Lytechinus pictus: one gene and its partner. The protein of the gene in region 1 binds, or shares a complex with, the protein of each later gene. Links are inferred from orthologs where the notes say so. Each region holds a gene or a part of one and is shown on either strand. Other genes may lie near its edges.

The links. The genes of interacting proteins can lie anywhere in the genome.
Region 2: DNA replication complex GINS protein PSF3-like (region 1) and zygotic DNA replication licensing factor mcm6-B-like share a complex: the UniProt entries of both Homo sapiens proteins name them as parts of the CMG helicase complex. The link is inferred for Lytechinus pictus from reciprocal best matches to the Homo sapiens genes GINS3 and MCM6.

The regions. Positions count from the first base shown.
Region 1 is NC_087246.1:26,110,154-26,113,912, forward strand, and holds the start of DNA replication complex GINS protein PSF3-like, read right to left. Parts: upstream 2,519-3,759; 5' UTR 2,482-2,518; coding exon 2,083-2,481; intron 1,169-2,082; coding exon 929-1,168; 3' UTR 1-928. UniProt on the Homo sapiens protein: Required for correct functioning of the GINS complex, a complex that plays an essential role in the initiation of DNA replication, and progression of DNA replication forks.
Region 2 is NC_087247.1:29,949,799-29,953,557, reverse strand, and holds the start of zygotic DNA replication licensing factor mcm6-B-like, read right to left. Parts: upstream 2,276-3,759; 5' UTR 1,785-2,275; coding exon 1,693-1,784; intron 1-1,692. UniProt on the Homo sapiens protein: Acts as a component of the MCM2-7 complex (MCM complex) which is the replicative helicase essential for 'once per cell cycle' DNA replication initiation and elongation in eukaryotic cells.

The DNA.
Region 1 (3,759 bases):
CATTTTAAAGTTTCGCTTAATTTCACAAAAATAGTTATATGCACATCCTGGCTGGTATGCAAATGAAAAGACTATGACGTCATCCACTCACTATTTCTCTTGTATTTTATTATATGAAATATGAAATATTCTAATTTTCTCCTCATTGTCAAGTGATACAACGATTAATTCCTCCCTGAACAGATGGAATTAGCATTGTTAAATACTATATGGTTCAGTCAAGTTGGTCCTTATTGTTAAATCTATAAAAAATTGAAATATTGTATAATTCAAACAATAAAAAACAAAAGAAATAGTGAGTGATGGACATCATCGACTGACTCACCTAGTTCTGCATATCACTGTTTTGTGAAAAATAAGCGAAACTTTAACATGTCATAACTTTCTTATTTTACATCCAATTTTGATGAAATTTTCAGCACTATGCTTGTTTGATTTTTCTCTATTTATTCAAGTCAGCATTTTCCTAGGGTGGACTTGACCTTTAAATAAGTCTAAGGTATGAAATGGGACCATGATATCTATCTTGTTCAGTGATCATCTTCATCCATTGCCGTTATTTTTTTATTCTCTTAGGTTAGCTACCATATATGTGATGTAGGCCTATATTCAATTCATATCTTACATAATCTATCGTTCCATGACCATCTTCATCAATTACTGTTGTTTTATTTTCATGCGGTTAGCTACCATATCAGATTTATACATGCGTCTTGTTATCAACATCAATCTTGTTGAGTGATCTTATTCATCCATTGCTGCTCGTTTCCTTTTCCTGTGGTGAGCTACCAATATCTGATTGATTTATATGCACATCTTTCATAATCTATCTTGTTCCATGACCACCTCCATCCATCACTGCTTGTTTTCTTTTCTTGTGGTTAGCTACCATATCAGATGTATATCTTGTTATCTACAACTATCTTGTTCATTGATCATCTTCATCCATTGCTGCTCGTTTTCTCTTCCTGTGGTTAGCTACCATATCTGACGTACAGATCTTTGTGATCTGTCTCGTCTCCCAGCTCTGAAAACTCCTAAGACTAGCCTGTCCAGCTCGGTAGATAGACCTCTCTGATTCATCCATCTTGCTTGTTAGGCGGTTATTATCCTCATGAGATGCATTCTGTGAGCCATCCATTACCTTGCGGAAACGATTAATGTAGGTCTGTGGAAAATACAACAATTATATAGAAATCTGGATCAGATACGTGCAGTGATTTGAAGTTTGTAAATGCAGTAGGCCCTACTTAAAAATGAGTAGAAAATTTTCATTACAAAAACAAAATTGTTTTAATCTTAAAACTAAGAATAATGATCCACAATGCAACTAGCTGTAGTTTAGCAAGTAGCGCTTGGACCTATATCAAAACCATACATTATTCTGAATACCACAAGCAGATTTTCGACATTATCATATTTTTTTCGGAGTCATACCAGGGCAGTGTTTCCCAAAATTTCCAGAATTTCTGTAAATTTTGATTTTTTTTTCCTGGAAAGGTTCGGGAAATGAAAACTCCAGGAAATTCCGGCTTGGGAAATCCAAAAATTAAAATTAATTAAACAACAATTAAACATAGCAACTTTTAATATTCATATAATATCTAAAGAATTTTTACCTCGATATATTGACTTTATTGTGTAGCTCAAAATTTTCTGTTTGTGCTCTGCACTTTCATTTAGTCATTTTGTTCCTATCCTATTTTTAAAGAGGGCATGGTCACTTGGACCAACTTGTTTAGGCTCATTCAATTGCCCAATTTTTGTTTAAAAATCAAACTTGAAAGTTCCAGGATATGTCTTTGAATTTCAGGAAATTTATTTTGGGATTCAGTTTCGGGAAATCTTTGGAAATACTTTAGGGGCTAAATCATATTCTAATTTCACACACATGCACAGTAGTTCACAAGACTATAGTCATGACATTTTTTTTCTCACTTTTTCATATCATATCATATCATACTCATAGTATCATAGTCTCAGACTCTCAGAGTCATACTATACTAGACAGTAGGCCTATAGATTTTGTTATTGTCTAACTAACGTTAAATCATAAATGATCTATTCACTAATCATTCTCACCTCAATCAATGACTTTGCGATGTCTTCGGATTCTGGGAAATCAAAACTGAGAATTTTAGTTCCAAAAGCGTAGAAGTAGGGGCCCATTTTATGTAAATCGACGATGTTTGCATCAGCACTCATTATCTCTCGGTAGGAGCCGCGAAAATACTTGGGCGGTTCAACGCTTACAAGAGGCCTGCGCCGCCCGAGGAGCCCGGTGACCAGCCAGTAGGGAAGATCCATTTTCGTACCAACTCGTATGTTTTCACCATCTGAACCAGGATTCAAAAAACCAAGTCGATGCAATGGTAGTTCAACCTTACAAGGTATCTTTTCATGAGTCGCAAGAATGTCGTTTATATCATAGTAATTATCTGAATTACTGCTGTATCGTGAATAAGTCAACGAAGATGCCATTCTCTTTGAGTTTTCAGAGTTTGAATTCCCGCATATCCAAAATAATAGAGGTTGAGCGCCATCTAGGGTCAAAATCAAGAGAATAAAATCTGAAAGCTTATCCACCACTATTATGGTCAAAGGATAATGAAACCCTGATGAGAAGTTTTGAAAGCACAAAAAATGGGTTTGAGTAAAATTGGACACACAATAAGAAAGAATTATGAGCGTTTGATTGTTGACCGGATTGTTTGAAAAATTAAAGGGGTACTCCCAGTGCCCCTGGGAACGATTGTGGGGGTGCTGAAGTGAAAGGGGGGGAAACTGAAGGTTGTTTTTGTACAGAGAAATTCGACAATAAAAAAGGAGGTATACTACAAAACGGAGGAGCTTTCGGTCCCAAGAAATTTGACTAGCCATTTTTTTTTTATTAAAGTGATTTCGGGATGCTTCAGCTCCCCCGCTCATAAGGGCCATGGATACTCAAGGCTGAAAATAATATTTGAACAGATAAAGAAAAATCAGGTGCTTATATAATTTATGTTTCATTTCAAATTCTTGATTGTGTTTGGATTGATTTAATGGCATTATGGGCATGCAATGCAAGATATTTCTTGATTTTGTGTATGATTGTGTGTAAACGCGTTTCATAATTATGATTTTAATGTATGATAATATGCTTACTTTATAGATTTTTTGAGAGTGTATTTGATATCAGGTGTTCTCATTTTCATATGAATTTGTTACCCCCTATTTTGTTCACCTAATATGAAGGTTTTATTCAGCTTGGGTCGGCTGTATTTGGCAGTTAATGATACGCGTACCGCCTTGACCGAACTGTGCGAAGTCTGTGTGGTAGAGATAGGCCGGGCCGTAAACACTACTTCTTGGGGGTGCATAAATTGCCCTAATTAAGTTTATAAATTGTGACAAAATAGAATCACTGTAATTTGTTTATGATATTGACTGTGGTACGACATAAGGATAACGGAGCAGCTTCTGTTTATGTTAAGATATAGACATATAAGGAAATGTTTTCTTCTGACCAAAAAGTGAGAATAATTTTCTCTGATTCTGTACTCCTTCCCTCGATGTACTCCCGAGTTCAGGTTCAGTTGTCTTAGCGACGCGTTGTTTACTACTGCGCGCATTGTGTGTGTACGTGATTATTGCATAGAAAGGTATTCGGCGTATTGTGTGGTGTATACACCGTTCATGCGCTGCACGTATACGTATATGCACCGGTATGCACACATTATTCATCCCTGGATTTGGCTTCTTAAAACGAGACAAGCATGA
Region 2 (3,759 bases), on another chromosome or scaffold:
GACAAAAGTTCAGTTCAGAAGCTGCCCAGCCCCGCTCGCAAGACCCCTGTTACGAGACATCTCAGTTCCCCGGCCCTGCAGAAATTGTCAAGTGCGAGCAAAGCATGCGAGAGATGCACGTACGGCTTCGCAACTCCTACATATAACTAGTAGCCGCTTCATGCATGGCGAGCGCATTCAGTGCTATGGTGCACCGTACCGGGTACCTAAAGTGCCGTGATCCTGTTCCGTAGACCATGTTTTTCACACCGCGCGATATATACTAAGTTCCCAAGACCCTGTACTTTACCCTTTGTCAGTTTCTTTGACCCCCATTTCAGAGTTTCGTGAGGCACACCCCTTCAAAAAATCATTTGAGTGCCCCCCCCCCCAGGCCTACCACGGCAGTGCATATGGGATAGTCATGTCTATGGAGGGAGGTGAATATAGTTCTTTTGAAAATGAAAAAACTTTTCATCTCTCTTTTTTCATGTTTGTTTTCATAAGACTGACATTACCCCTCTACTATAGTATTGAGACTGTTAGACTATAGTTGAACAAAATTCGGTCTACCCATGCTAACACTGTTAAAACAGAACTCCAGAACAACAAAGACAAATTGGATGTGCATGTGTCATTTTGACAAAAAAAAAACATTGTCGCTTGCTCTTTTTTAGTTAATAAACATGATACACATTAAAGTTCATCATGCATGTTGCAACTTATCTGCTAGCTGCTCATTGTTAATGTTAATAAAAAAATGCAAATAAAATTAAAAGCAACTTGCAAGATGATATTGCCGGAGTAGAGATCTAACTTTACAATCCACTGTCATAATCGATTATGAGACTGAGAGCATGGATACAAACTGTAACGTTAGTGATAGAACGAGGCATCACACACACGATACGTCATTGTCATTATTTCACATGACATTCTAGACCAAAAGCTTCGGTATCTGTTTAATGGCTGTTCCGCTGAACCACCGTTGGCTCCACTCACCAATTACACTTTTAATTTTACAGAGACCGTAGTTCTAACTCGATCTGTCAGTACATGCAGGTACTCAATGGCCATATGTTTGTGTATTATTATTAAGTTCGGATAAACCAGGGAAGTAAAGTAATTGCGCGACAGCCGAAGTAAATGACTAAGACAAGTCACTGTTTTTTGTCCTTATAAGTTTATTTTTTCCCGTTTTGGTGCATTTCAGGATAAAGCGGAATAACAATCTTTATTTGGTCCAGTTCTTTTTATATATTTTTAATGAAATAAAGTAAAAAATCGATGAGCCCCGTCGGGAGGGATTTTGCATTGTTAACCCTCTAGGCTCTAATGCGGCTGCACGATCGCGAGCCGTCTGTGTACGAGGAGAACAAAATGTTTAAAAAATCCTCGAAGCAGACGGCTGCGGCCAGCTGTAGGCCTACTCTAAATAGTAAATGACATTCATTGGATTCTAGCATATTATTAAAGGTTTAACTTTAAAGTTTAAGTTTAACGTTACTCGTTAGCTAGAGTAACTTTACTCAATTATGAGAGCACGGATACTAACTCACTATGACTTGTAGTTAGAACGAGGCATCAACACACATTATATCACATGACATTGGATTCTACAGGTAAGCCGAGTTGGGAGTAACTTTGGGAAAACGTCATTCATCACTTCAGTGTTCATGCCTGGGATTAAAACTTATTTAAAAAAAAACTCACTCTTCTAAAAAATCTTGAAATAGCTTCTGGCATTTCTCTGCAACATCATCCTTAACTTGGGTGATACCAGTTCTTTGATCAGCAACATCCATTGTAGATTTGAGAAAAATAAACTTTTCTCGTCAACAAAAACAATTGATTGAATTGAGCTTCCTCAAAGATATTGACGTGCAGTGCATAAACTGATGTTACAATGCGGTACGGTGATTTGTCTGGCGCGTCGCCTGGTCTGGCCGCTGGGTATTGGATGCCGTTGATAGATGATCCCTGCTCCGATCCGCGGTACGGTCCAGCGCGAGATTCAATTCATCGCACACTTCTTTCGCGCCACGGCAGCCATGTGATTTGTTTGTGCAATTCCATTTATAACAATTACTCCCTCAACTTTAATGTTTTTAATTGATTGATTATACTAATAATCAACTTATTTTCATATCAAAAAATAAATCACCATATGAAAAAAAATATTCTTTAATATTAGATGCAAAATTGTTGTAATTTTTTTCCATGACTTTTCAAAATCATTAGACAAAATATTAATAGATAGAAAAATAGAGGAAGTAAAATATTCAAATATAACAGCATCGAGCGGGTAATTTTCCTCTCTGAAACGTAGATGGCGCATAATTAAAGGGCCAAATGTGAATAAATTACCAGCTTTTTGAGATTTTCTTTCAGTGATTGTGTGTGTCAATTTAATTCAATTCGAGACGCAGCTGCCCCAACCCCCATACGTTTCCAATACCAGTGTAAATAAAAATAATAACTAATGAAAAAGGAGAGGAGGGGAGAATAAGAAGAAGAAGGAAGAAGAAAAACAAGAACAAGAAGAAGAAGAAAAGAAAGAAAGAAAAAAGAAAGAAAGAAAGAAAAGAAGAAAGAAAGAAAGAAAGGAAGGAAGGAAGGAAGAAAGGAACAAGGAAAGAAAGCTTGGAGAGGGGGAGAGAGAATTAAAGGAGAAGGTGAGAAGTAGAAAAAAAAACAAGGAGGAAGAAGAATGTTCCGTCTTTAGATCTATATTCTGTTTCAATAACGTCTTAGGCCTATATTAATACAAATCTCCAATTTTTGGTTTTCACTTTTCCCTTCCCCTCTCTCTCTCTCTCTCTTTCTCCCCCCCCCTCCTTTTTTCCATTTCCTTTCTCTTACTTATTTTCCGAGTTCCTCTTTTCCTATTTACCCTTTGATTTTGCCTTCTCTCTTTACTTAAAGGGCAAGTCCACCCGAACAAAAACTTGATTTGAATAAAAAGAGAACTAAATGAAAATCCAACAAGCATAACACTGAAAATTTCAACAAAATCGGATGTAAAATAAGAAAGTTGTGACATTTTAAAGTTTCGCTTAATTTTGCAAAACAGTTAGATGCACATCCTGGTCGGTATGCAAATGAGGAGAATGATGACGTCATCCACTCACTACTGTATTTCTTTGGTATTTTATTAAATGAAATATGAATTATTCTATTTTCTCCTCATTGTCAAGCGAACAGTGACTAATTCCTCCCTTAACATGTGGAATTAGCATTGTTTAATACTATATGGTTCAGTCAAGTCGGTCCCTATGGTCAAATCTGTAAAAAATGAAATATTGTATAATTCAAACAATAAAAAACAAAATAAATAGTGAGTGAGGGACATCATCGACTTTCTCATTTGAGTTGTGCATATAACTATTTTGTGAAAATAAGCAAAATTTTTAAATGTCATAACTTAGTCTTATTTTAGATCCGATTTTGATGAAATTTTCAGCGTTTTGCTAGTTTGATTTTGCTCTATTCATTCAAATTAACATTTTTCTGGGGTGGAGTTGACCTTTAACAACATGTGCGAACTGAAATAACCGACTGGGCATTATTTTTACGACTATGGAATTCATATAAACAGCGTTTTCGTGAATACATCCGTTCATTAGGTTTTGGTTTTCACCCCAAAATAAAGGCGACTTCGTCCGCACGTAAACTTTGACAAGTAAAAAAAGGGTCTTCACTTGTGTAGGCCTATATAATAATTGGCGGCGGAGCAGAGGATTACTCTTTTGTGTTTGGGGGGGGGGGCGCCAATTGTTG